2 linked regions of the Macaca fascicularis genome follow. The protein of the gene in region 1 interacts with the protein of each later gene in a pairwise test. Links are inferred from orthologs where the notes say so. Each region holds a gene or a part of one and is shown on either strand. Other genes may lie near its edges. The genes, in order: TNNI3 and TNNC2.

The links.
Region 2: the proteins of TNNI3 (region 1) and TNNC2 interact in binary tests that used the Homo sapiens proteins (3 or more experiments, as listed by UniProt). The two-hybrid records come from large-scale screens. The link is inferred for Macaca fascicularis from reciprocal best matches to the Homo sapiens genes TNNI3 and TNNC2.

What each region holds. Positions count from the first base shown.
Region 1 is NC_088393.1:63,019,623-63,035,305, reverse strand, and holds TNNI3 (troponin I, cardiac muscle), read left to right. Parts: upstream 1-5,523; 5' UTR 5,524-5,661; coding exon 5,662-5,672; intron 5,673-5,946; coding exon 5,947-5,959; intron 5,960-6,121; coding exon 6,122-6,205; intron 6,206-6,610; coding exon 6,611-6,652; intron 6,653-6,923; coding exon 6,924-7,055; intron 7,056-7,504; coding exon 7,505-7,594; intron 7,595-8,134; coding exon 8,135-8,311; intron 8,312-10,453; coding exon 10,454-10,537; 3' UTR 10,538-10,604; downstream 10,605-15,683. Other genes in the region: DNAAF3 (dynein axonemal assembly factor 3), read left to right, coding at 1,182-1,307, 1,413-1,535, 2,151-2,286, 3,097-3,208, 3,975-4,049, 4,133-4,520. UniProt on the Homo sapiens protein: Troponin I is the inhibitory subunit of troponin, the thin filament regulatory complex which confers calcium-sensitivity to striated muscle actomyosin ATPase activity.
Region 2 is NC_088384.1:101,853,844-101,869,704, forward strand, and holds TNNC2 (troponin C, skeletal muscle), read right to left. Parts: upstream 8,531-15,861; 5' UTR 8,467-8,530; coding exon 8,464-8,466; intron 6,063-8,463; coding exon 6,011-6,062; intron 5,875-6,010; coding exon 5,731-5,874; intron 5,643-5,730; coding exon 5,528-5,642; intron 5,365-5,527; coding exon 5,228-5,364; intron 4,622-5,227; coding exon 4,590-4,621; 3' UTR 4,456-4,589; downstream 1-4,455. UniProt on the Homo sapiens protein: Troponin is the central regulatory protein of striated muscle contraction. Tn consists of three components: Tn-I which is the inhibitor of actomyosin ATPase, Tn-T which contains the binding site for tropomyosin and Tn-C.

The sequences.
Region 1 (15,683 bases):
GTTCTGAGGGAGGAGGGCCTGGGGGCCTGGACGCCCGGGTCTGAGGGAGGAGGGGCTGGGGGCCTGGACGCCTGGGTCTGAGGGAGGAGGGGCTGGGGGTCTGGACACCTGGGTCTGAGGGAGGAGGGTCTGGGGTCTGGACTCCCGGGTCTGAGGGAGGAGGGGCTGGGGTCTGGACTCCTGGGTCTGAGGGAGGAGACACTGGGAGCCTGGACTCCTGGGTCTGAGGGAGGAGGGACTGGGATCTGGACTCCCGGGTCTGAGGGAGGAGGGGCTGGGGGCCTGGACTCCTGGGTCTGAGGGAGGAGACACTGGGGGTCTGGACACCTGGGTCTGAGGGAGGAGGGTCTGGGGTCTGGACTCCCGGGTCTGAGGGAGGAGGGGCTGGGGGCCTGGACTCCTGGGTCTGAGGGAGGAGGGACTGGGATCTGGACTCCCGGGTCTGAGGGAGGAGGGGCTGGGGGCCTGGACTCCCGGGTCTGAGGGAGGAGGGGCTGGGGGTCTGGACTCCTGGGTCTGAGGGAGGAGGGGCTGGGGGCCTGGACGCCCGGGTCTGAGGGAGGAGGGGCTGGGGGCCTGGACGCCCGGGTCTGAGGGAGGAGGGGCTGGGGGTCTGGACACCTGGGTCTGAGGGAGGAGGGTCTGGGGTCTGGACTCCCGGGTCTGAGGGAGGAGGGGCTGGGGTCTGGACTCCTGGGTCTGAGGGAGGAGACACTGGGGGCCTGGACTCCTGGGTCTGAGGGAGGAGGGACTGGGATCTGGACTCCCGGGTCTGAGGGAGGAGGGGCTGGGGGTCTGGACTCCTGGGTCTGAGGGAGGAGGGTCTGGGGTCTGGACACCTGGGTCTGAGGGAGGAGGGGCTGGGGGTCTGGACTCCCGGGTCTGAGGGAGGAGGGCCTGGGGGGTCTGGACTCCCGGGTCTGAGGGAGGAGGGCCTGGGGGGTCTGGACTCCCGGGTCTGAGGGAGGAGGGTCTGGGGTCTGGACTCCCGGGTCTGAGGGAGGAGGGCCTGGGGGGTCTGGACTCCCGGGTCTGAGGGAGGAGGGGCTGGGGGCCTGGACTCCCAGGTCTGAGGGAGGAGGGGCTGGGGGTCTGGACTCCCGGGTCTGAGGGAGGATGGTGTAGGGGTCCCTCCATGGTGGGTTCATTGAGGGGTCCCTTCTTCCTGCCCCCCACCCCAGGCCCAAGTCATTCACACCCAGGAGTTCCGACGCTGGCGGGACACAGGCGTCGCCTTTGAACTCAGGGACTCCAGCGCCTATCACGTGCCCAACCGGACCCTGGCGTCGGGTCGCCTCCTGAGCTACGTGCGTGTCCACTGCCTGTCCTGGCCCACTGCTGCTTCTCGGAGACCCAGGAGTCAGGGTCCCCAGCCTCGACCTCACCCGCCTCCTCTCTCCCTCCTTTTCCAGCGCGGGGAGCGCGTGGCAGCGCGCGGGTACTGGGGGGACATCGCCACAGGGCCCTTCGTGGCCTTCGGCATCGAAGCCGACGACGAGAGCCTTCTGCGGACCAGCAACGGACAGCCGGTCAAGGTGCGCGGCGAGGCTGGGACTGGGGGTGGGAGTGGGGCTGGGGGTGGGGGTGGGGCTGGGGGTGGGGGTGGGGGTGGGGGTGGGGCTGGGGGTGGGAGTGGGGCTGGGGGTGGGGTGGGGCTGGGGTTGGGAGTGGGGCTGGGGGTGGGGCTGGGGGTGGGGGTGGGGCTGGGGGTGGGAGTGGGGCTGGGGGTGGGAGTGGGGCTGGGGGTGGGAGTGGGGCTGGGGGTGGGGCTGGGGGTGGGGGTGGGGCTGGGGGTGGGAGTGGGGCTGGGGGTGGGAGTGGGGCTGGGGGTGGGGCTGGGGTGGGTGTGGGGCTGGGGGTGGGAGTGGGGCTGGGGGTAGGGCTGGGGTGGGGGTGGGGCTGGGGGTGGGTGGGTGCGCAAGACCCCGCCTCCACCGCAGGCCCCGCCCCAGCTCCAGACCCAACCCGTCGCTGGGCGGGGACGACTCCATTCAGGGAACAGGCCCCATCCCCGCGGGATAGGTCCCGCCCCACTTCACATCCTCCAAGCAGCTGCGGGAGTTCTAGTCCTGGACCGAGGACTCCCCGCGTTCTAAGCCCCGCCCCGCCATCCCGGCCCCGACGTCTGGCCACGCCCCTTCTACCCCTAGACGGCCGGGGAGATCACGCAACACAACGTGACAGAGCTGCTCCGCGAGGTGGCCGCCTGGGGGCGCGCGAGAGCCAGCCGGGGGGACCCGGAGGAGCAGCAGCGCTCGGAGGCAAGCCCGGAGCCAGGGACTCCAGGTAAGTCCCAGGTAGGCCAGGACTCCAGGTAAGCCAGGGACTCCAGGTAAGCCACGGATAACAACAGGTAAGCCAGGACTCCAGGTAAGTCCCAGGTAGGCCAGGGACAACAGGTAAGCCAGGGATAACAGGTAAGCCAGGGATAACAACAGGTAAGCCAGGACTCCAGGTAAGTCCCGGGTAGGCCAGGGACAACAGGTAAGCCAGGGACTCCAGCCTCCAGCTGTTTCACACTGGAGTGTGGACTGACATGATTTGGAATGCCTGGGCAAGTGACGGCTTCTTGATATTCTGTTTTTTCCTCTCTTCTCTTTCTCTCCCTTTCCTAAATTTTGAGAGCATGCTTAGGATTCTGAATTCCACTAGTAGAATTCAATCTTATCTGCAAAGGGCTAAGCTATCCAAGAATATTCTCACAGGGTGCTGGGTCCCAGCCCTCCCTTGGACACCATCCTGCACCCCGGATCCGCGCTGGGCCTCCTTCCAGCCATCCTCCAACCTGGCCCTCCCTGAGTGTCTGTCCGACAGGGCATGTCACATGTGGCCCTGGCCACCCACCCTCTTTCCCTCTCTAGTCTCAGTTGCCTGATCTGTACAGTGAGCCTCTGCCTGCTGGGCTGATCTTCCCAGAATTTTCCAGGAATCCACCTCAGAGGAAAGATTTTTTTAAAAGCTTCAAGAGGACAAAAAGTGTTATCTCCAAGTCCTGTGTGCCTGCCCAGCTCTGCCCAGCTCTATATATCTCTCTGGCTTTCTGCCCTCATGGCTCTGCCCGTCAGAGGTGACCCCTCTATCCCCTTCCTCCGGCAGCCTCCACTCCGGAACCATTCACTGTCCACTTCCTGCCACTCAATTCTGCTGAGACTCTCCACCACAAGAGCTGCTACAATGGCCGGTTCCAGCTCCTCTATGTGGCCTGTGGGTAAGCAGGAGGCGTCTGTGCTCACAAAGACCCAGGATCAGGCCCCCAGCCCCTCCTCCCTCAGACCCTGGAACCCAAGCCCCAGGCCCTCCTCCCTCAGATCCAGGAGTCCAGGCACCCAACCCCTCCTTCCTCAGACCCAGGAGTCCAGGCCCCCAGCCCCTCCTCCCTCAGACCCAGGAACCCAAGCCCCAGCCCCTCCTCTCTCAGACCCAGGAGTCCAGGCCCCTAGCCCCTCCTCCCTCATACTCTGGAACCCAAGCCCCTCCTCCCTCAGACCCAGGAGTCCAGGCCCCTAGCCCCTCCTCCCTCAGACTCTGGAACCCAAGCCCCTCCTCCCTCAGACCCAGGCGTCCGGGTGCCCCAACCCCTCCTCCTTCAGACCCAGGAGTCCAGCCCCTCCTTCCTCAGACCCAGGAGTCCAGCCCCAGCCCCTCCTCCCTCAGACCCAGGAGTCCAGGCCCCCAGTCCCTCCTCCCTCAGACCCGGGAGTCCAGGCCCCAGCCCCTCCTCCCTCAGACCCAGGAGTCCAGGCCCCCAGCCCCTCCTCCCTCAGACCCAGGAGTCCAGACCCAGCCCCTCCTCCCTCAGACCCAGGAGTCCAGACCCAGCCCCTCCTCCCTGGTCCCTGAGTCCAGACCTCCTGCTCCCTTCTTTCCCAGGACCCAGACTCCAGTGTTGCAGCCCCTCCTCCCTCAGTGTCTGGGTTCCCAGAGCCCCCTCCTCCCTCAGCTGAGTCTCGGCTTGTCCTCGGTCCTCACTGCAGGGTGGTCCATCTTCTCAGCCCCGAGCTTGGGGCCTGTGTGGCACCTGGAGGGAACCTGATTGTGGAATTAGCCCGGTGAGCCAGTGGGGTGGAGGGCGGGGAACATCCCGGCTGGGGATCAAAATCTGGGTCCCTGACATGGCGCTTCCCATCTGCAGGTACCTGGTGGACGTGCGGCAGGAGCAGCTGCAGGGATTCAACACCCAGGTCGGGGAGCGAGCTCAGGCAGCGGGATTTGCTCCACAGACCGGGGCCAGGCCCTCAGAGACCTTCGCACGTTTCTGCAAGTCCCAGGACTCGGCTCTGGGCAGCACTGACCCAGCTGTGGAACCCGGAACTCCGTCCCTTGACGTCGTGGCCCAGCCTCTTGAAGCCAGCAGCCCAGCCCCTGAGGGCCTGACCCAGCCTCCGGAGGGCGGGACCCCACACTGGGAGCCCTGCCAGCTGCCCTCTGAGTCTCCAGGTTCACTCTCAGAGGTTCTGGCTCAGCCCCAAGGGGCTTTGGCTCTGTCCAACTGTGAGTCAGACTCCAACACTGGAGTCTGACCCAACCCCTAGATACCCCTTATCTCCAACTTCCAAAGTCAGGTTGTAGGATGAGAACCCGCTGATACCATCCTAAGCCGGCTGCTAGAGTCCCCAATTTTATTCTAATCATTCCCACTCAGTACCCGCCACCCCCACCCTGGGAGTGTTGATAGAATTTCAAATTCTATTTCTGAGATTCTATTTCTAGAATTCTAGATTGTTCTCTCAGAATTCCAAATTCCACTTCTGAGGCCCTGAACCCAGTCTAGGATCGGACCCTGAGTCTCAAGCCCTTGACTTTGGCCCCCTTGTTCCCAGGCACCCTGGGCTGGCTGGGGGCTGGGGTGTCTCCTCACCAGGGCCTGGTCAGCACCCAGATGGTTCAAGTAAAGCAAGTTATGTCCACCTCTCTGTGTGTCCAAGTGTCTTTCCTGTCCTATGTCCGTCTCCAGGGCTGGGAGAGAAAGACCCAGGAGTGGTGGACAGAGGAAGCCAGAAACCAGATTCCTGGGTTTCCGGGACTTGACCAGTGGGTCTAGGGAGGACAGGACTGGGGTCTGGACTGCTGGGTCTGAGGGAGGAGGGGCTGGGGGCCTGGACTCCTGGGTCTGAGGGAGGAGGGGCTGGGGGTCTGGACTCCTGGGTCTGAGGGAGGAGGGGCTGGGGACCTGGACTCCTGGGTCTGAGGGAGGAGGGGCTGGGGATCTGGACTCCTGGGTCTGAGGGAAGAGGGGGCTGGGGGCCTGGACTCCTTGTCTCAGGGAGTGGCTGGGGTCTCCCAGGGTCCTAGGACTGAGGAAGGAGGGGGCTGGGAGGTTGGGCATTCTGTGGGTCTGAGGGAGGAGGGGTCTAGGACTCCAGGATCAGAGGGAGGAGGGTCCGGAGTCCTGTGCCCCGAGGTGGCTGGTGATCCAGCTGGAGCAGGGCCCACCCCACCCCTCACGTGCCCCGTTATCTCGCATGGTGGGCAGGGGAGGAGGAGGTGACAGTATATTTAGTCTCTGTCCTCGCCCTTTATCTCAGTGTCCTCGGGGAGTCTCAAGCAGCCGGGAGGAGACTGACGGTCCCTGGGACCCTGAAGGTCACCCAGGCGGTCCCCTCACTGACCCTCCAAACGCCCCTGTCCTCACCTCCTGCCATTCCCGGCCTGAGTCTCAGCATGGCGGATAAGTGAGTGATGCCCCAAGGCAGTGGGAGTTGGGGGCGACCTCTCAGGTTCCCAAGAGGGGTCAGAGCTGAGAGGCTGGACCCCTGGCCTGTGAGGTAGGGGTAGGGGCTCTTGGTTGAAGAAAGGAAGCGGGTTTGCGAGTCAGACTCCTGGAACCAGAGGAAGGGGAAGCGGTGTCCCCCGACCTCTTGGTCAGAGGGGCTTCCGGGGGTCCCTTAGGAGACAGACAGGACACAGCCCACCACTAACCCCCATCCCCGGTTTCTCTCCTTCCAGGAGCAGCGATGCGGTGAGAGCAGCAGGCTAAGGCGTGGCTGGGACCCCCAGGGCCAGGGTGGGCGCTGCAGTGAGGGGTCTGGGGCGGGAGGCTGCAGCCCTAGCAGAGGGTGCGGTACGGAAAGGGCTGGGTGGGGTCTTGGTGGTGATGGGGTCCCCACTCCTCCAAACCCAGGCTGGGGAACCTCGCCCTGCACCAGCCCCAATCAGACGCCGCTCCTCCAACTACCGCGCTTACGCCACGGAGCCACACGCCAAGGTGGGAAGGGGCTTCCTGGGGGCCGAGTACAGGCGCTGGAAGGACCCGAGACCCTGAGAGTGGGGGGAGGAGCCAAGGCTACGAAGGGGGCGGGGACTACGCGGAGAGGCTTCAGGGGCGGAGTTTTGCAAAGGGTCACACTCGGATTGGTGACAGCCGCCTGTGGGCGTAGTTCCGTTGCCCTTGGATTTCCTTAGGGATAGATGGGAAGTGCCTATCCAAAGCCAGAGACCCGGATTGGTGGATGGGAATGAGGGGCGTGGCCTGTCATAGACTCAGGGCGCAAGTTGGAAGTGGGCCCAAATCTGGACCGGCTGGGGTTGCTGGGGGTGCCTTGAGGTCCCCTCCACCGTCGTCTCCGGATCCCCCTCCATGATGCTTCCTTGCTCCATCTCACCCTGGCAGAAAAAATCTAAGATCTCCGCCTCGAGAAAATTGCAGCTGAAGGTGAGCACGGGAGGTACAGGGAAGGAGCAGGCACGTGCTCAGGGGGCGGAGCTTGAGAGTGGGTGGGGCTTTCGGGGTAGGTGGGCGGGAGTGGGCGGGGGTTTGGCCGCTCGGGGCGTGGCTTTATCGGGGAGTCCTGCTCCGGGTGGGGCGGGGCCTTGGAAAGGTGGAGACGAAACTCGAGGGTTTAGAAGGGCAGACGGGGTTCCCTACGCCTGGTCTTTTTCCTGATGCCCCGGGTGGGCTACGCTTCCCTCCCACCCCTCCGCAGACCCTGCTGCTGCAGATTGCAAAGCAGGAGCTGGAGCGAGAGGCGGAGGAGCGGCGCGGAGAGAAGGGGCGCGCTCTGAGCACGCGCTGCCAGCCGCTGGAGTTGGCTGGGCTGGGCTTCGCGGAGCTGCAGGTACCAGCTCCCAAGGCAGGTACTCCTGCCCAGCCTGGGATCCGAGGTTTCTAGTCCCCGGAATTCAGCAGAACAGCCTCTGTCCCCTCTTCTGCTCGGGACCCAGGCGTCCAATATGTCTGTCCTTACCCAATTCTATATGGTTCGTGGGACTCCCGGCCCCTAACACCCTTTGTGTGCAGGTCTCTGGAGTCTTGGCTCCAACCTTCTCCTTCAGGATCATGTGGCCCTCCTATCCCAGACAGGGTCCAGGCCCCAGCCCCTCCTCCCTCAGAGCCGGATGTTCAGGCCTCAGCCCCTCCTCCCTCAGACCCAGGAGTCCAGGCCCCAGCCCCTCCTCCCTCAGACCCAGGAGTCCAGGCCCCAGCCCCTCCTCCCTCAGACCCAGGGGTTCAGGTCTCCAGGCCTCCAGGCTTCCCCCAAAAACACACACCACGTTCCTCCTCCAGGACTTGTGCCGACAGCTCCATGCCCGTGTGGACAAGGTGGATGAAGAGAGATATGACATACAGGCAAAAGTCACCAAGAACATCACAGAGGTGGGACGCATGGGCAGCTTGGGTACCTTCGGGGTAGTGAGATACCTGGTATTTGGTCTCTGCCTGACCCCTTGCAGCTGCTTTTGGCTGCACATCCCAGGATACCCAGGACAACTGTGAGCCTGGCAGGGCTGGGGCAGAAGGATGAGTACAATATAGTCAAGGAAAGCTGTTGTAGGCAGAGGGAACAGCACATGGAAGGCCATGGGTTGGGAAACAGAAAATATGTTAGTGAACATGTTCAGGGCATCACATGTTGGTAAATTAGCTCAGGCATTGGCCAGGGAATTGTGATTTGTATGTAGCTGGACCAGGTTATGCCAGTGGTTTTGTGAGGTGAGGCTGGAGCGTATGAAGAGGGGGATTCAGTTCCAGGATTAGAAGCTTAGACTGGGAGCCTAAGCTGAGAAGAGACTGGATGAGGCCTCGGTACTGGAAGACGAGATAAGGAGAATAAAAAAGGAGTGTAGGGTGGAAGAGTTGGGTGAGGGGGAAATGGAGGCAGGAGTATCCACACCCCTGTATACTGCCTCCCCCCAGATCGCAGATCTGACCCAGAAGATCTTTGACCTTCGGGGCAAGTTTAAGCGGCCCACCCTGCGGAGAGTGAGGATCTCTGCAGATGCCATGATGCAGGCGCTGCTGGGGGCCCGGGCTAAGGAGTCCCTGGACCTGCGGGCACACCTCAAGCAGGTGAAGAAGGAGGACACCGAGAAGGTGAGTGTGGGCTAAGGCCAGGAAAGAGAATGCTGAGGGGAAGGGCTGTGGGTACCAACAACCCTGGGGCCTAGCTGGAGGGCAGACGGTGCTTGAAGTTGGGGGTAGAAGCAGCTAGCTAGTACGGGGTCCTCCAAAATGCAAGAGGAAGACGGGAAGTGCATTAGGGCTACAGGAAGTCCATGTAAGAGCAAAGAGGTGCATGAAGGGCTGGGTGCAGGGGCTCATGCCTGTAATCTTTGAGATTAAAATTTTTTTTTTTAATTTCCTTTTTTTTTTTGAGATGGAGTCTCTGCTGCCCAGGCTGGAGTGCAATGACACCATCTCGGCTGCTGGAGTGCAGTGACGCCATCTCGGCTCACCGCAACCTCCGCCTCCCAGGATCAAGTGATTCTCATGCCTCAGCCTCCCAAGTAGCTGGGACTACAGGTGCACACCACCACGATATTGTTTTAATTTCTACAAATTTCTTTTTAAAATTGATTAGTCATGGTGGTGGCATGCAGCTTCTCAGGAGGCTGAGGCAGGAAGATCGCTTGAGCCCATGAGATCGAGGGTGCAGTGAGCTATGACTGTACCACTGCACTCCAGCCTGGGCAACACAGTAAGACCCTATCTTAAAGAAGAAGACAGGAAAGACAGGAGTGGATGCCTGAAACCATGGATTGTACTGAACCCTATATATAATTTTTTTCCTATACAAACCTACGTACCTATGATAAAGTTTCATTTCTAAATTAGACACAGTAAGAGATTAACAATAAATAATAATAAAAGAAGGCTGGGCATGGTGGCTCATGCCTGTAATCTCAACACTTTGGGATGCTAAGGCGGGCAGATTGCTTGAGCTCTGGAGTTCGAGACCAGCCTGGGAAACATGGCGAGACCCCGTCTCTACAAAAAATACAAAAGTTGCCAGGTGTGGTGACTCACACCTGTAATCTCAGCGCTTTGGGAGGCCAAGGCAGGTGGATCATAAGGTCAGGAGTTTGAGACCAGCCTGGCCAACACAGTCAAACCCCATCTCTAGTAAAAATACAAAGATTCGCTGGGTGTGGTGGTGGATGCCTGTAATCCCAGCTACTTGGGAGGCTGAGGCAGGAGAATTGCTTGAACCTGGGAGGCAGAGGTTGCAGTGAGCTGAGATCTCACCACTGCACTCCAGCCCTGGCAACCGTGGGAGACTCCATCTCAAAAAAAAAAAGTTAGCTGGGCATGATGGCACACACCTGTAGTCCCAGCTACTCAGGAGTCTGAGGTGAGAGGATAGCTTGAGCGCAGGAAGTTGAGGCTGCAGTGAGTCGAGATTGCACTCCAACTTGGGTGAGGGAACCAGACCCTGTCTCAAATAATAATAATAATAATAGTAAAATAGAACAATTATAACATATTGTAATAAAACTCATATGAATTGGTCTCTTTCTCAAAATATCCTATGGCCCTGTAGTCACCCTTCTTTTCCTTGTGATGTGAAATGACAGTGCCTATGTGCTGAGATGAAGTGAGGTGGATGACATAGGCATTGTGACCTAGCATTAGGCTAGGTCCTATGAGAATCCATCAAACTTATGAATTATTTCTGGAATTTTCCATTTAATATTTTTGGGCCATGGTTTACTGAAACCACACAAAGTAAAATTGCAGATAAGGATGAACTACTACAATAAGAAGGAAGGAGACAGGAAGTGCATAAGGCAGACAGAAAGTGTAGGGGAAAGATAGGAAGTGCAGGAAGGAGACAGGAAGTGGATAAGGAAAGACAGAAAGTACATGAGGGAGACAGGAAGTGCATGGGGAAAGACAGGAAATGCATGAGAAAAGACAGGAAGTGCTGGGGAAAGACAGGAAGTGCATGGGGGACAGGAAGTGCATGGGGGCACAGGAAGTACATGGGGAAAGACAGGAAGTGCTGGGGAAAGACAGGAAGTGCATGAGGGGGACAGGAAGTGCATGAGGGAGACAGGAAGTTATGGGGAAAATTGGCAGGGATTATCTTGAAAAGATGGGAAGTGCTCCAGAACTAGACACTTAGACAGGCATCCAGGGTAGAGTGGCCCCACAGGCTGGAGGGAAGACAGGGATTCTTGAGAGACTGGAGACCAGGAAGAGACCCTAATCTCTGACTCTATCGCCATCCTCCAGGAAAACCGGGAGGTGGGAGACTGGCGCAAGAACATCGATGCACTGAGTGGAATGGAGGGCCGCAAGAAAAAGTTTGAGGGCTGAGTCTTCCTACCTACTGCCCCCGCCCTGAGGAGGGCCCTGAGGAATAAAGCTTCTCTCTGAGCTGAAAGTGACTCCATGTCTATTACCCAGGGCTTAGGCAGGAGAGAGATGGGAAAACTGAGGGCAGGGCTCCCCCAAAGTCACACAGCAGGTCGGGGACCAGATGGATCTCCCATGTGGAGCACTCTTGGCTCTGTTATCAAAAAGAATTCCAGGGTTCATGAATTTGGAGAGGGGAGCTTTGTTTCTTAAGAAGCAGATCACAACCTGCAAACTGGAAGCGTGGCTTCTTGCCAAAAAACAGAAGCAGGCACTTTAAGGGAGGGAAGGGCAAGGCAGGAATTTACGCTGAGTGGGTTGGCTACGTGCACGTATTCAACTGGTTATAGAAGGAGCTATGAATATTCATGGACAGGTGGACACACACATGTGTGACAAGCAAACATGCATTTTTTTTTTTTTTTGAAATGGAGTCTTGCTCTGTCACCCAGGCTGGAGTGCAGTGGCACAATGTCAGCTCACTGCAACCGCCACCTCCTGGGTTCAAGCCATTCTCCTGCCTCAACCTCTCCAGTAGCTGGGATTACAGGCATGCACCACCAGGCCCAGCTAATTTTTGTATTTTTAGTAGAGACGGGGTTTCACCATGTTGACCAGGCTGGTCTCGAACTCCTGACCTCGTGATTCACCAGCCTCGGCCTCCTAAAGTGCTGGGATTACAGGCGTGAGCCATTGTGACTGACGACAAATATGCATTTTACATGGTGGTGGAGGCTTAATATTTAAGTGCATCCCATTGAATGCATTCGTATGGAAACATGAAGCAGGCATATGAAGGCACCCAGTGCACAGCCTCTGTCAAAAGTCAGAACCAGTCTGTGGTCCGTGGTATCTTATCAGGAGAAAGTTACTGAAATCAGTCTCTCATTCAACTAATGCTGTAGCTATGCGTTGTGGAACAGGGGGTTCAGTTAGTCAGCATCTGGCAATGGATGGCTGCAATTGTTGTAATATTGCATATCTTGAGGCCAGTGTTTGTTTAGCTGCTAGAAAAAGGAAAAGCCTTGTGGCAATTAGAACATAGTTTATTATATAAGTGTAGGGATGCGTGACTTAACCCTTGCCTGGCATGGCCTCAGGTCTTGTTTATAATTTGGTATCTTATTGCCACAAACAGTTCATTCCATCAGTCTTCTGATCTCTATTGTCACAGCACCTCTGGCCCATGTGGAGTGCACAGAGATGCCAAGATTAAAGCTCAAAGAGAGAGACACACAGAGAAACAGATAGGCAGAGAGACATACTGGCAACAGAGGGACTGAGTTGGGAGTAGAGAGAGAAGGAGCCAGACAAAGACCCAAAGAGAGAGGGAGAAAATACCATGGATGCATAGAAGGAAGTGCAAAGAAAGGAGAAAAGAGAGACAGAGGTATAATCACAGCAAGGTGCGGAGACGTGGAGACCCTATAAGAGAGGGAAATGGAGAGCCACAGAGCGGGAACTGCGGGCACTAAGACATGGAGAGAACTAGAAAGACAGAGACGTGAACATGGACACAGAGACCCAGAGCCAAAAAGAGACAGAAATGGGGTCACAGGTGGACAGAAATGCACAGAGAAACTGTGAGCCTCCACGGACACAAACGCTGAGAGGGGCAGACATGCAGAGACACCCACAGAAATGCAGAGACAAAACCACCTAGAGACACATGCCAAGAAACACACTGAGGGACCCAGAAAGAGACAGATGCAGAGAGAGCCCAAGACAGACCCCAGCAAGAGGCCCCAGGAAAAGCACAGAAACACAGAGACGGACCACGAGAGGCAGAGGTACTGAGAGGTACTGAGAGGTACTGAGAGGCGGGGAGGGGAGGAGGCCTGCTCTCCAGGGCCGGCTTGAACCCAGAACTCAAGGTCATGGCTTGGCTAGGAAGCGCGAGGGGGACACCAAAAAGATCAGTGTTAGATGAAGGTGGGGAGGGAGGGGAGGTTTCACCCTAATTGACACCCCCTCTCCCTCCCTCTCCCCACACCTGCTTCCCGGCTTTAGTGCCTGTTGTCACCAGGATGGAATCCTGGTGGCAGACAAAAGGGTGGGGGTGGGGAGGGGGAGACAGAAAGATGGACAGAGACAGAGGGGGAGACTAAGAAGTGGAGACAGACACACAGAGATACACAGATGGAGAGCCACAGACACAACAGAAACGGGGGTCCAGAAAGAGACCATGGTAGAAAGAGGGAACGGAGAGAAGAAAACAGAAAACATTCCTTATAGCCCATTTGTCATTAGTAGGTCCTCCAAGGACCTACTGTGGGCCGGGCGTGGGGACGTCAAAGCACAGGGAGCTGTAAGGGAGGTAGCTGCAGCACCATGAGACCTGGGGGTGGGGTGGGGGCGGGAGCGGGGCTCCTGGGCCGTGCAGATGGGGTTAGCATGGGGTTGGGGAGGGGCCCGCGGAGGCTTTTGGACTCTGAGTGTGGAGCCAGGGGCAGCGGGGCTGTCTCTGAGCTCCCAGACTTGTGTTTGAGCAATGGAATTCTCTCCCCCTCCCTCTCCCTTCGGGGCGGGGCCAAGCCTCCCAGGGCCAGCTATAAACTCCCGGTAGCTTCAGTGCCCTCAGCAAGGCTCAGCCACGAGCTTCCCAGCATCTCAGACACAGCCTAGGTAAGGGGCTCTGTGGGGCCCTGTGGTCTCCAAAGACTGTGTCCTTGCGGGAGGGGGCAGGAGGTGGGTGGGGAAGATGTGGGGTGTGGAGAAATGGTGCAGAGGTAGGTGGGGCAGACAACTGGAAGTCTGGGAACTTGAGAGGCTCAGACTTCAGGGGGACTCAGGATAGAGGGGAAAATACTGGGATTTGTGGGTCACACAGATCCGAACCCGGGGCTGCCAGGACTTGGGTGTCCCAGAACAAAACCTCCTAGGATCTTGGGGTTCTGGGAATCTGGGGGAAATCTCAGCAGTCAGGGATATCTGGACTTGGAGGTCAAACAGTCTGGGTGTCAGGATTTGGGGCCTCAGACTCTGAGGGTATCAGGAATTGGGGGTGGGTCTCACAATCTGGGGTTTTAGGAGTGGAGGCCTCGGAATCTGAGGTATTATGATAGAAAGCACGAGAACTTGGACTGTCATTATCTGGGTATCATGAATTGGGCCTCCGAGGTTAGGTATCAAGATTTTGGGGGTCTCATATTCTTGAGGTTTCAGAATTTAGGTCCCAAGACCTGGGGGTGGTCTTAAGATGTCCCGGCCCATATCTGGACTATCAAGAACAGCTGTGAGGACTCGCTGGTCTCAGAAACATGGGCATCACAGATTGGGGTCTCAGAATCTGTGGGTATTGGGATTTGGGGCTAGGCACCCCGTGGCCTAGGGAATCTCAAAGACTTTGAGGTCCAAGAATATAGGGGTCCGGGTGAGGTCTGTGGACAGAAGGTGCCCTTTATGCTCCTGCCCCCTGCATGATGTATGGGAAGGTGAAAGGGGAGACAGGTGGGGAGGAAGCCAGCCAGCGGGGAGGGGTGAGTGGGAGAGGGGATGAGGGTGACTAATTCTCCCAGAAGCCCCCCTTCCTCAAATCCCTTCTTAGGAAATGTCCTCTGTCTCACCATCTATGACATCCCCCCGAAATAGCTCCTGGGTGTGGGGCAGCTATTGTCTTCAGGCCACTGTCCCTTCTCAAATGCCTCCTCCTAATCCCAGCTGGATCAGGTTCCCATGGACTTGTCATAAGACAAAAGAGGACAGCTGTGTGGAGGGGGCAGGGTCTGCAGCCTCCTGGCTGTGCCAGGACCACATCTACCAAGGTCTGTCCTCATGCGTGCTTTAGGACAGCCAGCCCCCTCCCTCGGACCCAGGAGTCCAGACCTGAGCCCTCCTCCCTCAGACGCAGGAGTCCAGGTCCCCAGCCCCTCCTCCCTCAGACCCAGGAGTCCAGACTCCCAGCCCCTCCTCCCTCAGACCCAGGAGTCGAGACCCCCAGCCCCTCCTCCCTCAGACCCAGGAGTCGAGACCCCCAGCCCCTCCTCCCTCAGACCCAGGAGTCCAGACTCCCAGTCCCTCCTCCCTCAGACCCAGGAGTCCAGACTCCCAGCCCCTCCTCCCTCAGACCCAGGAGTCCAGACTCCCAGTCCCTCCTCCCTCAGACCCAGGAGTCCAGACTCCCAGTCCCTCCTCCCTCAGACCCAGGAGTCCAGACTCCCAGTCCCTCCTCCCTTAGATCCAGGAATCCAGGCCCCAGCTCCTCCTCCCTCAGACCCAGGATTCCAGACCCCAGCCCCTGCTCCCTCAGACCCAGGAGTCCAGCCCCTGGCCTCTCCTCCCTCAGACTCAGGAGTCCAGACCCCCAGCCCTTCCTCCTTCAGGCCCAGGTGTCCAGCCCCTGGCCCCTCCTCCCTCAGAACCAGGAGTCCAAGCCTCCATCCCCTCCTCCCTCAGACCCAGGTGTCCAGGCCCCAGCTCCTCCTGCCTCAGACCCACGAGTCCAGACCCAGGAGTCCAGACCCAGGAGTCCAGGCCCCAGCTCCTCCTCCCTCAGACCCAGGAGTCCAGAACCAGGAGTCCAGGCCCCCAGCTCCTCCTCCCTCAGACCCGGGAGTCCAGACTCAGGAATCCAGGCCCCCAGCTCCTCCTCCCTCAGACCCCGGAGTCCAGACCCAGGAATCCAGGCCCCCAGCTCCTCCTCCCTCAGACCCAGGAGTCCAGACCCAGGAGTCCAGGCTGCAGCTCCTCCTCTCTGACCCAGGAGTCCAGCCCCCAGCCCCTCCTCCCTCAGACCCAGGAGTCCAGACCCCCAGCCCCTCCTCCCTCAGACCCAGGAGTCCAGACCCAGGAGTCCAGCCCCCAGCCCCTCCTCCCTCAGACCCAGGAGTCCAGACCCAGGAGTCCAGGCCCCCAGCTCCTCCTCCCTCAGACCCCGGAGTCCAGACCCAGGAATCCAAGCCCCCAGCTCCTCCTCCCTCAGACCCAGGAGTCCAGACCCAGAAGTCCAGGCTGCAGCTCCTCCTCTCTGACCCAGGAGTCCAGCCCCCAGCCCCTCCTCCCTCAGACCCAGGAGTCCAGCCCCCAGCCCCTCCTCCCTCAGACCCAGGCGTCCAGGCCCCCAGCCCCTCCTCCCTCAGACCCAGGAGTCCAGCCCCCAGCCCTCCTC
Region 2 (15,861 bases), on another chromosome or scaffold:
TTAAGTCCGTTTTATTTAGATTTCTGGCACTTGCAACAAAAAAAAGCCTGGTCAGGAAGTATTTGAATTTCTGATTATTATGATTCCCATTTTATTGAATTCCTGCAAGATAAAGGCCCTCTGCTTGGGGGACTGGGGAATAAGTGCCATACAGCCCAGTGATTAAGAGCTCAGACCAGTCTGGTCATGGTGGCTCATGCCTGTAATCCCAGCACTTTGGGAGGCTGCAGTGGGTGGATCACCTGAGGTCAGGAGTTTGAGACCAGCCTGGCCAAAATGATGAAACCCTGTTTCTACTAAAAATACAAAAAATCGGCCAGGCATGGTGGCGAGTGCCTGTAATCCCAGCTACTCAGGAGGCTGAGGCAGGAGAATCGCTTGAAGCTGGGAGGCGGAGATTGCTGTGAGCCAAATCACCCATTGCACTCCAGTCGGCAACGAGAGCAAGACTCCATCTCCAAAAGAAAAAAAGGCTCAGACCAGGTAAGCAGAACTGTTTCAGGATCCTGGCTCTGCCTCCATTTGCCCGTAAACATGTAGACAGTTACATTTAACCTCTCGGTAAAATGAAAATACTAGCACCTACCTCATAAGACAGTGGAAGGACCTTAGAACAATGCCTGGTAGATAGTAAGCACTCAATAAAGGTTGGGTGCTGAACTCACATATAGCCAGGAAAGTTCATAGGTGGAGCACCCAATAGAATAGGAGGGTCAAGGAAAGGTTTTTGGAGAAGGGAATTGAGACCTGAGGGAGATGCACATTCCTTGGATAGCAAGTTCAGGAGTATGTAAGGAGAGGAATACACAGCTGAGAGTGGTGGCTCTTGCTTATAATCCCAGCATTTTGCAAGTCCAAGGCAGGCGGATTAGCTGAGCTCAGGAGTTCAAGACCACCCTTGCCAACATGGTGAAACCTCGTCTCTTAAAAACATAAAAATTAGCCGGGCATGTGGCGCCTGTAGTCCCAACTACTTGGGAGGCTGAGGTGGGAGAACTGCTTGAACTTGGGAGGCAGCGGTTGCAGTGAGCTGAGATCACGCCACTGCTCTCCAGCCTGGCTGACAAACACAAAACTCAAAACTCTGTCTCAAAAAAAAAAAAAAAAAAGAAGAGTAAAGGATGGGGAAGTCACATAGACATCAGGTCATGATAGGCTGGAAGGCCATATTAAGATACTTGGGCTAGCCTGGGTAACAAAGTGAGACCCCATCTCTACAAAAAATAACTAGGGGCTGGGGGAGGATCCCTTGCGCCTAGGAGTTCAAGGCCTCAGTGAGCTATGATTGTGCCCCTGCACTTCAGCCTGTGTGACAGGGAGATTCAGTTTCTTAAAAAAAAAAAAACTTGGACTTTATCTTGAGGCGAAGCCTTAAGCAGGGCAGTGACATGATCAGATTTGTTTTTATGTATTTTTTGAGATGGAGTTTCACTCTTGTTGCCCAGGCTGGAGTGCAATGGTGCAATATCGGTTCACTGCAACCTCTGGCTCCTGGGTTCAAGTGATTCTCCTGCCTCAGCCTCCCAAGTAGCTGGAATTACAGGCATGCGCTACCACGCCCGGCTAATTTTGTATTTTTAGTAGGGACGGGGTTTCTCCATGTTGGTCAGGCTGGTCTCAAACTCCCAACCTCAGATGATCCACCCGCTTTGGCCTCCCAAAGTGCTGGGATTACAGGCATGAGCCACCACGCCCGGCCTATGTTATTTTTTAAGACAGAATCTCACTCTGTCACCCAGGCTGGAGTGTAGTGGCGCAGTCTTGGCTCACCGCAACCTCCACCTCTTGGGTTCCAGCAATTCTCCTGCCTCAGCCTCCCAAGTAGCTAAGATTACAGGCATGTGTCTGGCTAATTTTTATATTTTTAGTAGAGAGGAGGTTTTTTCATGTTGGCCAGGCTGGTCTCAAACTCCTGACCTCAAGTGATCCGCCTGCCTCGGCCTCCCAAAGTGCTGGGATTACAGGTGTGAGCCATGGCACCCGGCCTCCATCTCTATTTTAAAATATGTATATAATTCAAAAAAAAAAAAAGATATTCAGGTAGAACCAATAACAGGTAGATGGCATCGGAGTTAAGAGCCTTGCTCCTGTGCAAACCACATAGTGCACGGCGATACTACCTAGGTTATTATCTGGGTGCCTGTGTACTTCACCTCCCTCGGCCTTAGTTTTCCAACTGTAAAGTGGAGAAAGCAACATCTGCCTCTAGGGATGTTATGTGAGTGAATGAGACAATGTCCATAAGGCACAGTATACAGTAGGCACTCAGTAAATAGTAATGTTTACCAAACCCCAGCACTGATCCTGGCTGTAAATAAAAACAGAAAAACATGAATAGGACAAAAGAGGAAGAAGAGAAAAAGACAGATGGAGAGAAAGAACTAAAGCAATGAGCAAGGTGACAATAGAGGCTGGGCTTGGTGGCTCATGCCTATAACCCCAACATTTTGGGAGGCCAAAGTGAGAGGATTCTTTGAGCTCAGGAGTTTGAGACCAGCCTGGGTAACATAGTGAGATTCCGTCTCCACTAAAAATAACAAAAACTAGTGGGGGGTCACCCATTTGTAGTCCCAGCTACTCGGGAGGCTGAGACAGGAGGATCGCTTGAGCCCAGGAGGTCAAGGCTGCAGTGAGCTGTGATCACCTACTGTATTCCAGCCTGGGCAACAGAGCGAGACCCGTCTCATTTAAAAAACAAAACAGGGCTGGGCGAGTTGGCTCAAGCCTGTAATCCCAGCACTTTGGGAGGCCAAGGAGGGTGGATCACGAGGTCAGGAGATCAAGACCATCCTGGCTAACACGGTGAAACCTCGACTCTACTAAAAATACAAAAAAAATTAGCCGGGCGTGGTGGCAGGTGCCTTGTAGTCCTGGTTACTCGGGAGGCTGAGGCAGGAGAATGGCGTGAACCCAGGAGGCGAAAAAAGCAGGCCAGGCATGGTGGCTCATGTCTGTAATCCCAGCACTTTGGGAGGCTGAGGCAGGCAGATCACCTGAGGTCAGGAGCTCAAGACCAGCCTGGCCAACATGGCGAAACCTGGTCTCTACTAAAAATACAAAAATTAGCCAGGCATGGTGGTGGGCGCATGTAATCCGAGCTATTCAAGAGGCTAAGGCACGACAGTCGCTTGAACCCAGGAGGTGGAGGTTGCAGTGAACCAAGATTGTGCCACTGCACCCCAGCCTGGGTGACAAGAGCAAAACTCTGTTAAAAAGAAAAAAAAAAAAAAATGCTTGCTATGTGCCAGGCACTGCTATAAGCACTTTGCACACACTAACTTCTCACAACCCTGTGTGTACTATCATTATCCCCATTTTACAGGTGAGAAAACTGAGGCACAGAGTGGTTTAGTTTGTCACAGGCAGTGAGCACTCACACTCAGGCATTCTGTCTCTAAAGCTAAACTACCCCCTACACTTAATTAGCTGTGATCTGATACCTGTTATATACAAATCACTACAGCAGCAAATAGCCAGTGAGGGGAGGGTTCAAGGGAAGAGATGGTATCTGAGCTGGGTCTTGTAGGTTGAAGAATCTGCCAGCTTATAAGAAAGACAAGGGCATTCCAGGGAGGGCAAACAACATGTGCAAAGTACCAAGGGCTTGAAAATGTACTCCAGGTCCCTATCAGGAATAAATTGCCCAGTGTGGCTGTGGAAAGAAAGAGAGGGAGGGAGGGAAGGAATTTGGATCTCATTCTAGAAGCAGTGAGGAGCACCGAACTACTTTCAATGGGGCAGTGGCCAGGTCAGATACTTTAGCTCACTGGTGCTGATGGCCCTCTGTAGAGTGCACTGGCTGAGACCGGGTGGAAGCAGAGATCTGGGGTCAAATGATGAGATCAGAATCTCCTTAGTGAGTGCCTCCACCCTCCCCTACCACCACCAGTACAAAGCGAGGATTAAGCACTTGGAAGAAAAGAGGAAGTAAAAGGTCAAGCAGAAACAATGCTACCTGGCATGGATGGGCACCTACTCCCCCTCTCCCCAGCTAGGGAGCCTGCAGAAGGTGGCAGCTATGACAACATCTAAGATGCCAACATTCCAGAAAAGAAGGACGGTGGGGAAGTGAGGGAGCTTCCCAGCTCCCCAGGGTTCTAGCCTCTCCCACCCCCTCACCCTACCTGCAGTCCCGGGACCCCTCCCTCCGCAGTCTGCCGGCTCACCCTGACTCAACTCCAAGCCCCTGCAGCCTCCTGGAGCCACCACTGCCCCGTCCGTCAAGCTGCGCACACCTAGCGCCAGCTGTCGGGAGCCAGCCGTGAACCCGCAGAGCCTGCCTCGGGCTCCAGGGCCCAGCTCCCTTCCGCATCTCGCTGCTCCCACATCCCGCAGCTCCGACAGCCTCTCCCGGGATCCCTGAGGGTGCTCCAGGTGGTGCCAGCTGGGATGGCGCCCTGGACCGCAACCTTTGAGACCCACTGTTCCCAGCTTTCCCCCCATTCAGGCCACGAGTTTTGGAACATTTGCTTTTATTCCTTGCAGACAAAGACCCACAAGGGGCCGTGCCTCCCTGGTGGGGACCCGGCAGGGCGGAGTCTCCCACACCCTAGGGACACGTGATCTTGGTGGAGGCGACTGACCACTCCTTACTGCACGCCCTCCATCATCTTCAGGAACTCTGTGGGAAAGGAGAGGGAGAGGGTCAGGGGTCCCACTGGGGACGCAGAGGCCAGGCCAGGGCTCCAGCCACACAGAGGGGATGACTTTTTTTTGTTTTTGTTGAGACACAGTCTCGCTAGGTCGCCAAGGTCGCCAAGGTCTGTTGCCCAGGCTAGAGTGCATTGGCACAATCATAGCTCATTGCAGCCTCAATCTCCTGGGCTCAAGCAATCCTCCCACCTAAGCCCCTGGAGCAACTGTGACCACAGGCACATACCACCACGCCCGCCTTTTTATTTTATTTGTTGTAAAGACAGGGTCTCACTATGTTGCCCAGGATGGTCTCGAACTCCTGGCCTCAAGCAATCCTCCCGCTTCATCCTCCCAAAGTTCCAGGATTTTACAGTCCTGAGCCACCACGCCCCCACTGCCTGGTCATTAATTGATAAACTGCACAGAGTCGTGGGTGCTTCTATACCCGCCCCCAGGAGACTAGGGGAACTTTTGAAGTTATGCCCAGCCCAGCCCACAAGGCCAAAGACACTGCACGGGAGCCAGGCACCAGTGCTCGCCGTCCCCTGTGGCTCCCACCCACTCTTCCCAAGCTCCCGTGGCCCTCCCTCACCGTCGAAGTCAATGCGGCCGTCATTGTTCTTGTCTCCGTCTTTCATCAGAGATTCGATCTCCTCGTCCGTCACGTGCTCCCCAGAGGCCCTGAAAATCTCAGCCAGCTCCTCCGGGTCGATGTAGCCATCTGCATTCCTTCAGGTCCAAGGGTCAGGGCAGAGCTTAGGGCCAGGGCGAGCTGCCCTGGCCACCACACTCGACGCCCTGCTTCCGCACCCCCAACCCGGGGAACCCTCCAGCGCTGCCGGCAGGCTTTGACTGCTCAGCCCCTCCCTCGGCTCCCAGGCCCCCAGCGCACCTGTCGAAGATGCGGAAGCACTCGGCCAGCTCCTCCTCGCTCTTCCCCTTCGCGTCCTCTTTCATCTGGCGCACCATCATGACCAAGAACTCCTCGAAGTCGATGGTGCCGCTGCCTGCGGGGAGCAGGTGGTGGACTGAGCCTGAGCCTAGCCACTGCCGCCTTTCCCCACCATCCCCTGCCTCTGAGGGACACCCACTCACCGTCCTCATCCACCTCCTCGATGATGGCGTCCAGCTCCTCCTTGGTGGGTGTCTGGCCCAGCATCCTCATCACCGTGCCCAACTCCTTGACGCTGATGTCCCCACCACCATCAGCATCAAACATGTCAAAGGCAGCCTTGAACTCTGCACGGGAGGGCAGAGGGCAGAGGTGAGGCCAGCTGGACTGTCAGCCTCACATCTACCCCCCCAACCCTGCCCAGAGGCCAACATGTCCCCAGCATACATCCACCCAGCCCCCAGCCTGCTGCGCCTCACTCACCAGCGATCATCTCCTCGCTGAGGTAGGACCTGGCCTCAGCCTGCTGGTCCGTCTGCAGGAGACACAGAGAAAGTCTGAGCTGAAGAGGCAGCCCCAGGGCAGTTGCACACCTGAACCCCATTCTTCCCAACCCTCACTCTCTCAGCGCTTCTTGGTCCTCCAAAAGAACAACTTCAAACTTGCCACATAATTGTGTGCCCGCACAGCACCCAATCACAGTTTTGTTTTGCCTTGCTCTGTCACACAGGCTGGAGTGCAGTAGTGTGATCATAGCTCACTGCAGCCTCAACCTCCTAGGCTCAAGCAGTCGTCCCACCTCAGCCTCCTGAGTAGCTGGGACTATAGTGCACACCATGCCTGACTATTTTTTAAGTTTTTGTAGAGACAGAGTCCCACTATATTACACAGGCTTGTTTTGAACTTCTGGGCTCGAGTGATCCTCTCACCACAGCCTCCCAAATTGCTAGGACTACAGGCTTGAGTTACTGTGCCCAGCTTCTGACCCCAGTTTTTGTTTTTGTTTTTTGTTTTTGTGACAGAGTCTCACCCTGTCGCCCAGGCTGGAGTACAATGGCGTGATCTCGGCTTACTGCAACCTCCACCTCCTGGGTTCAAGCGATTCTCCTCCCTCAGCCTCCCAAGTAGCTGGGATTACAGGCATGCGCCAACACGCCCGGCTAATTTTTGTATTTTTAGTAGAGACGGGGTTTCACCATGTTGGCCAGGTTGGTCTTGAACTCCTGACTTCAGGTGATCCACCCACCTTGGCTTCCCAAAGTGTTGGGATTACAGGCGTGAGCCACCATGGCTGGCCTGACCCCAGTTTTTTTGTTTGTTTTGTTTTGTTTTTGAGACAGAGTTTTGCTCTTGTTGCCCAGGCTGCAGTGCAATGGCACAATCTCAGTTCACCACAACTGCAACCCCCGCCTCCCAGGTTCAAGCGATTCTTCTCCCTCAGCCTCCCGAGTAGCTGGGATTACAGGCATGCACCACAATGCCCAGCTAATTTTGTATTTTTAGTAGAGATGAGGTTTCTCTATGTTGGTCAGGCTGGTCTTGAACTCCCGACCTTAAGTGATCTGCCCGCCTCGGCTTCCCAAAGTGATGGGATTACAGGCGTGAGCCACCACATGTGGCCTGTGACCCCAGTTTTGAGAAAAAGAGAGGAGACAACAAATTAAGCCCAAGGCCTTCTCACTTGTCAATTGAAGGCCAAGTCAGGAACCCCCCAGTGACCTTAGGCAAGTCACTTAGCATGCATTCATCTTTTCTCTGTAGCTTTTCAGGGATGAGATATCAGCGGTGTGAAAGGGTTTTGTAAAGGCTAGCACCATTCCAGCACTATTTTCCAGTTTTCTGTAGCTCCTAGTGGTGCCCAGTACTTTAATTGTTGCTCAATAAAATGTTTGTTCTCAAATAAATAATAATGCAACACAAAGTTATTGAGTACTTGCTGCACGTCAGGCCGCAGATCAGGCACTGGGACCACCAAGAAGAGACAGAGGACACATCATCCCGCCCCTCAGAGAACTGGCAGAGTCGGAGACTGTAAGCTTCCTTCTTAGGATTCAGTCATTGGAGAAAAGGCCCCTCATGTTGGGCCGAATGTGATGGAGGCCTTGACCTGAAAGCGAGATATCTGCGGGGGTTTCCAGGTCATACCCAAGCCAGGCCATCTGGGCCAGAGGCTTTGGATTGAGGCTGGCAGTGAGGACGGGGTGAGGCTTCCAAGGAGCTCTTCAGCCGGCTGGCTGCCGGCCCTCCTCCTTCTCCCCCTCCTTCCTCTCCTCCTCTTTCCCTGTGCCAGGAGGGCAGGCTATTTTTAGTCAGGCATGGGCAACAGCAGCTGGCCTCCGGGATCTAGTTACTCCTTGAAGTGAAGTGGGCAGGGGGATCTCAGACGAAAACAACAGCTCCAAATCAGAACCCCTCTCTAGGAGAGCAGAGTCTCTCTAACTCTGGTCTGTCATCTTCTGCCCCTTCCCATCATCCTCAGGGCTCCCAGAGCCCTGCATCTGAGCAGGCCCCACACCCTGCCCACCTCCTGTCTTCTGGACGAGGCTTTCTTCTCTCCATGATGATAGGAGGGTTTGCCAGGCTTCTGGCTCACCCCTGCCACTGGCCTGCTGGGTGACTCACTCTGACCCCTCAGAGTCCCCACTGTGTGAAGGAAACAAGCTAAGAGCTCCTCACAGGTCTATGAATGACACTGCTGGAAGTTTCCGAAGGTGAGTAGGCAGTCAGCAAGCCTTGAGGATCAATCTCTGGAATATCCCAGCCCTCCCCTTTCAAGAAAAGTCAAAGGCCTTCCTTTAAGACACCTGGGTTCCAGGAACCTCCATGCTCCAACCTCAAACATCCCAGTTACTGCCCCACAAAGCACTCAGGTCTGGCCTGAAAGAGGTCCAGAGTGCTCCCGCAAGTAAAGGCACAAAGTTCCCTCTTGTCCTTACCATGGTTGCTGGTGACCAGGACTCCTCTGCTGCAGGTCGCCTCCTTTGCACTCCGCCACCCAAAGATGCCCTGGCCTGCTCTAGCCCCCGGGATTTGTAGGGGCACCCTCCCCTCCCACCTCCCTGCTCCCCAGCACTGGAGACCCTGCCCAATCAGATCCTGGGGTCGGCGAGCCCCACCCCTCCCACAGTCTGAACCCATTACCTAATTTAGCCAAGGGCCCTTGCAGAGAAATTTAAGCCTCCAAGCAGGTGGCAGGCCTTGACGTCCTAGATTCTTGTGAGGAAGTCCCGCCCTGTTCCACCGCCTTGGAGTCCCCCCGACCAAGGAAGCACACTAGCTCCAAGATGGTAAGGACTATCAGAGTAGTAAAGAGTGAGGCAGCATGGTAAAATGGGGAGAGTACAAGCCTTGAAGTCCAAAACCCAAGATCCAAGGCCAGCCTCTGCGAGCTGTGTGACCTTGGGCAGGTAGCAGTGCCTCTCTGAGTCATTTCTTCATCTGTGGGAATGGACCTCTCTGTGGGGTCTCCCTCACAGAGAGAACATGGTAAATGGGAACCCAGGTATAAGTCACCTAGCTTGTGCCGGGTACACAGCGTTGATGCTTGGCAAGAGGAATGTCCTGTCTTTGAACCATGGTAAGGGGCAGGGGATAGAAGGAGGGGAAAGTGACAGCTAGGCCACTGTTTACTGAACCCCCACAATGTGCCACACACTGTGCTAAGCATTTTAACATGATCTCATCTAGTGCTCCTCCTATGAGATAGCAACTATTATTATCTCCATTTGACTGCAGAGATTTGTAAATCATAAAGGTCTATACTCACTCTGTCACCAAGGCTGATGTGCAGTGGTACTATTATAGCTCACTGCAGCCTCGATCTCCTGGGCTCAAGTGATCCTCCCACCTCAGCCTCCCGAGTAGCTGGGACTAGCAGTGCGCCACCACCCCTGGCTTTTTTTGTTTTCCTTTTTTGTATTTTTTGTAGAGATGGGGTTTCACCATGTTGCCCAGGCTGGTCTCGAACTCCTAGGCTCAAGGCATCCTTGAATCCTTGGCCTCCCAAAGTACTAGAATTACAGGCATGAGGCACCATGCCCACCCATGTTGATGATTCTTATTATTAATCCCGACTGGAAGGAAGTTGGGACAGACAGTCCTTGGGGGACCTGTCTAGATGGAAAAATGTATGGAGGGATGGAGGAGAGGAGGATGTGCATTTGGAGGAGAAATAATCATTGAAAGCAAAGATCCTTCTCTCAAAGTTACCTTCTCCATGGAAAGGGTGTTTGGATTCACTTTTTTGGGGTAAGGAGTAGGCAAGGGAAGGTTATTTAAGTGGTAAAGGGGTAGCTGGCCCCTTCCTAGAGCTCAGTGAAGACATCTGGTCATCTGGGGAGTAAAGGGGTGGGCAAAGCAAGTCCAGAGGGAACCCACCCTGAGAATCCACAAGGTAAAGGCTGGGCACTGGGGAGTAGGCAAGACTTGTGGACAGTGACTACGTCGACAGAAAGAGCACCAAGACAACCGATAGCAGGCTCTGGGGCCAGGAAATGGGGGCTGGACACCAAGGAATGCAGATGGACAGTGACAACTGGGCTGCCCCCTTCCCCTATATATAGACATTCCCAAGGAGAGCTCGGCAGGGCTGGGCCAAGCTAAATAAGGCCTCCCCCAGGCAGGCAGAGTGCCAAAGCCTGAGACCCATGGGATTCCAATTTAGTTTTTGGTTTTTTTTTTTCTTTTGAGACAGACTCTCACTCTGTCACCCAGGCTGGAGTGCAGTGGCGCCATCTCAGCTCACTGCAACCTCCGCCTCCTGGGTTCAAGTGATTCTCCTGCCTCAGCCTCCCAAATAGCTGGAATTACAGGCATGAGCCACCATGCCCAGCTAATTTTTTTTTTTTTTTTTTGAGACGGAGTTTTGATTTTGTTGCCCAGGCTGGAGTGCAATGGTGCGATCTCGGCTCACCACAACCTCCGCCTCCTGGGTTCAAGCGATTCTCCTGCCTCAGCCTCCCGAGTAGCTGGAATTACAGGCATGAGACACCATGCCCAGCTAATTTTGTATTTTTAATAGAGACAGGGTTTCTCCATGTTGGTCAAGCTGGTCTCAAACTCCTGACCTCAGGTGATCCGCCCACCTCGGCCTCCCAAAGTACTGGGATTACAGGTGTGAGCCACCACACTTGGCCAATTTTTGTATTTTTCATAGAGACAAGGTTTCATCGGCCAGGCGTGGTGGCTCACACCTGTAATTCCACCACTTTGGGAGGCCGAGGCGGGTGGATCACGAGGTCAGGAGATCGAGACCATCCTGGCTAAAATGGGGAAACCCCGTCTCTACTAAAAATACAAAAAATTAGCTGGGCATGGTGGTGGGCGCCTGTAGTCCCAGCTACTCGGGAGGCTGAGGCAGGAGAATGGCATGAACCCGGGAGGCGGAACTTGCAGTGAGCCGAGATTGAGCCACTGCACACCAGCCTGGGCAACAGAGCAAGACTCCGTCTCAAAAAAAAAAAAAAAAGGTTTCATCATGTTGGCCAGACTGGTCTCGAACTCCTGACCTCAGCCTCCTAAAGTGCTGGGATTACAGGTGTGAGTCACCGAGCCCGGCTTTTGTTCTCTTGTTTATTCAGGGGAATAGATAAGTCCCAAATTGCTTATGTGGCCAAGCAGGGTCCCACTGGCACTTCTAATCTCCTTCCTCCTCCCCTCCACATCGTGTTGCTGTCTGCTCTGATCAGACTTTAAAATACTGCTCTAGGCTGGGCGCGGTGGCTCATGCCTGTAATCCCAGCATTTTGGGAGGTCGAGGCTGGCGGATCACGAGGTCAGGAGTTTGAGACCATCCTGGCCAGCATGGTGAAACCCTGTCTGTACTAAAAATACAAAAAATTGCTGCCAGGCGTGGTGGTGGGCACCTGTAGTCCCAGCTACTCAGGAGGCTGAGGCAGAAGAATCACTTGAACTCAGCAGGTGAAGGTTGCAGTGAGCCACTGCAGTCATGCCACTGCACTCCAGCCTGGGTGACAGAGGGAGACTGCATCTCAAAAAAAAAAAAAAAAAAAAAAAAAAAAAAGACTGCTCTAAACACCACCTTTTATGAACCTTCAGGCCTTTGCACATGCTGTTTTTTTTTCTGCCAGAAACTCCCATCTTTCCTCTCTTCATCTGTCTACTTCCCCTATCATCTTTCTCAGCTCTAACATCACTTCCTTGGGGATGCTTCCTCCCGCTATGTCCAGGCCAGGGAGTCCAAGGTGATCTCCAGTAGTTTCCTCAATCACAGCACTGAGCACGCCTTATGATCACAACCCATTCTATGTTCTACAGATCATCACATTTCCCAGTGCTTAGCATTTGCCACGTAGCAGGAGTTCAACAGATATTATATTCTACATAAGAATAACCGAACTGGATGGTATTTAGTTCAATATAAGGGGGAACTTCCTAATAGTCATAGTTGAACAATAATGAGAACAGGCAGCCTCAGGAGGTAATGAGCTCCCTGTCACTGAATATACCCAAGCAGGAGATAGATGACCATTTCTCAGGGAGGCTGTAAGGAGAGATCCATACAGAGTTTAAAAATGGGGACAGTGGGCCGGGCGCGGTGGCTCAAGCCTGTAGTCCCAGCACTTTGGGAGGCCGAGACGGGTGGATCACGAGGTCAGGAGATCGAGACCATCCTGGCTAAAACGGTGAAACCCCGTCTCTACTAAAAAAAAAAATACAAAAAACTAGCCGGGTGAGGCGGCGGGCGCCTGTAGTCCCAGCTACTCAGGAGGCTGAGGCAGGAGAATGGCCTGAACCTGGGAGGCAGAGCTTGCAGTGAGCTGAGATCCGGCCACTGTACTCCAGCCTGGGCAACAGAGCAAGACTCCGTCTCAAAAAAAAAAAAAAAAAAATGGGGACAGTGGCTCACACTTTTAATCCTAGCACTTTGGGAGGCTGAGGCAGGTGGATCTCTTGAGCCCAGGAGTTCGATACCAGCCTGGGCAACATGGCAACATACCAGCCTGCTTCCAATAAAAAAATTAAAATAAAACAAAGAATGGTGGATGGTGGCTCATGCTTGTAATCCCAGCACTTTGGGAGGCAGAGGTAGGAGGATCTCTTCAGGCCAGGAGTTCAAGATCAGTCTTGGCAACATGCAACCCCACCTTTACAAAAAATAAAATATTAGCCAGGCATGGTGGCACATATCTGTAGTCCCAGATGCTTGGGAGGCTGAGGTGGGAGAATCACTTGAGCCCAGGAGTTTGAGGCTGCAGTGAGCTATGATCGCACCACTGCACTCCAGCCTCACAACAGAGTGAGACTCTGTCTCTGAAAGAGGCCAGGTGCGGTGGCTCATGTCTGTAATCCCAGCACTTTGGGAGGCTGAGGCAGGCGGATCATTTGAGGTCAGGAGTTCGAGACTAGCCTGGCCAAAATGGTGAAACCCCATCTCTACTAAATATACAAAAATTAGCTGGGTGTGGTGGCACACACCTGTAATTCCAGCTACTCAGGAGGCTAAGGCAGGAAAATCACTTGAACCCAGGAGATGGAAGTTGCAGTGAGCCAAGAGTGTGCCACTGTACTCCAGCCTGGGTGACAGAGTGAGACTCTGTCTCAAAAAAAAAATAAATACATAAAAATAAAAAGGAAGAAGAAAGAAGCAGAAAGAGGAAGAAGGAAGCAAAAAGAAGAAGAAATAATAATAGTGGAGAATGCGCAACCTTGAGATCTGCTAGTTCTGACTGTTTGTATGACCTAGCATAAGCCTTTCCCCTCACTAAGCCTCAGGCTACCTATCTGTAAAACGGAGGTGATAGGCCAGATTTCTGAGGGGCCCTGCTGCTTTAACAACCCATGGTTTCATGAAGACCAGCTTTGTGCCCAGACATGTAAGGCATATACCAAAGGACAAGTTATTTTTTAACCAATGGTTGGTGAATGATTGAGTGTTGAATTAATAAATGAAGTATGTCTTTTTTGTCCCAATATCTTGCCCATAAGCCGAATGAAGAGTAATTCGAGGTTTGAAATTGTGCAAACTGGCCAAGCACAGTGGCTCATGCCTGTAATCCCAGCACTTTGGGAGGCAGAGGCGGGCGGATCACTTGAGGCCAGGTGTTCGAGACTAGCCTAGCCAATATGGTGAAACCCCATCTCTACTAAAAATACAAAAATGAGCCAGGCATGGTGGCGCATGCTTGTAGTCCCAGCTACTCAGGAGGCTGAGGCAGGAGAATTGCTTGAACCTGGGAGGCAGAGGTTACAGTGAGCCGAGACCGCATCACTGTACTCCGGCCTGGGCGACAGAGCAAGACTCTGTCTCCCTCCCTAAAAAATAAATAAATAAATAAATAAAATTGCACAAACTTAGGCTTAAAATCCATCCCAGCCCCTCGCCGTGTGCGGTGGCTCACTCCTGTAATCCCAGCAGTTTGGTAGTCTGAGGCGGCGGGCGGATCACGAAGTCAAGAGATCAAGACCATCCTGGCCAACACGGTGAAACCCCGTCTCTACTAAAAATACAAAATTAGCCAGGCATGGTGGTGGATGCCTGTAATCCCAGCTACTCGGGAGGCTGAGGCAGGAGAATCACCTGAACCCAGGAGGTGGCGGTTGCGGTGAGCCGAGATTGCACCATTGCACTCCAGCCTGGGCAACAAGAGCAAAACTCCTCAAAAAAAAAAAAAAAAAAAAAAAAAAAAAAAAAATTCCCAGCCCCTCTATTTCCCAGATGTGGATCTTGGGGAAGTCACTTTACCTCAGTTTCTTCATCTTGAAAATGGACCATTAATGTCCAGTTACAGCCTCTTCCCTAGGACGCTGTGAGGGACGGATGTGACAGTAAAGTGCCTAGAGCGGGATGTAGAAAGTGGATCCTCAGAAAATAAGAACCCCAGCCTTTCTGCTCACATGGGAAGGCAGGGAGCTGAAATACTTTCTGCTTATTCTAAGGCATTTTCCCCTACCCCTCTGTCTTGCACCACCCAGAAAGGGCAGGAGCTACTTTGGAGAGATTTTGATTTTATTTGTTGTATAACTATCAAAATCTGCCCTAACAACTGATATCTAGGCTTTGTGACAGGAAGCCACAATAACTTTCTCTTGACCTGCAGCTGCCCTGAGGATAAAAGATAAAACAAAGCTGGGGAGCCGCTGAGATGATCAGGCCTGCTGCACGGGAAAAGGGCAGTACGGGCTCCAGGCCCCATACTCAGAGACCTCTGAGGGAGGCAGAGGCAGGCAGATCACTTGAGCCCAGGAATTCGAGACCAGCCTGGGCAATGTGGCCAAATCCCATCTCTACAAAAAATACAAAAATTAGCTGGGTGTGGTGGCGAACGCCTGTAGTCCTAGCTACTGGGGAGGCTGAGGTGGGAGGGATGACCTGAACCCAGGGAGACGGAGGTTGCACTAAGCCAAGATGGTGCCATTGCACTCCAGCCTAGGCAACAGAGTGAGGCTATATCTCAAAAGAAAAAGAAAGAAAGAAAGAAAGAAGGAAAGAGAGAGACAGAGAGAGAGAAAGAAAACTCTGGCAAGCTGTGTGGTTTAGCCAAGTAACTCACCCTCTCTGGTCCTCAGTTTCCCTGTTTGCCTACTTCCCATGTATGAGGTTCAAATCAGATTGTGCAATCCTGCAAACACTGTAGGAACAATAATCATTATGTAAGTGATCACTTCGTCAGCCCTTGCTCTATGCCAGGCACTGGACGAGGATTTTTTTTTTTTTTTTTTTTTTTTGAGACGGAGTCTTGCTCTGTCACCCAGGCTGGAGTGCAGTGGCCAGATCTCGGCTCACTGCAAGCTCCGCCTCCCGGGTTCATGCCATTCTCCTACCTCAGCCTCCCGAGTAGCTGGGACTACAGGCGCCCGCCACCTGAACGAGGATTCTTACAAGAGCTGCAAAATTAGTTTTAGCAGTACTGTTCCTGTTTTACATACGAGAAAATCTAGGCTCAGCGAGGTCAGATTCCAACCCAAATCACACATCTCCTGGCCTTCGTTTTCTTTCGGGAGACATGGCCTCCCTAATATCGCATAATTACTTTGTGAAGTTAAAGAGCGTTGGGTGGAAATTAGTGGGGCAGATTGGAGATGACGTGGGTGGGGTGGGAGGATTCCAGGAGGGTATGCGCCTGGCCGGACTGGAATGATTTTGCGGCAGGCCTGGGACTCCCTCAGGCCGACCTAGGCTTCCCAAGTCCCTCCTAGAGCCAAGGGCCCGGGATTCTCCGGCGGCTCGGGCGAGCGGGCGGGGCAGGAGGCGGGGCGGCAGCAGGAAGCGGCCCGAGCGGCGCTCGGAGCGGCCTGAGCCCAGCGGAGCCCTGCAGAGCCCGGCCGGCCTCCATGGGCTGCGGGGGGCTGCACCCCGACCCTTGGGGCGCGGC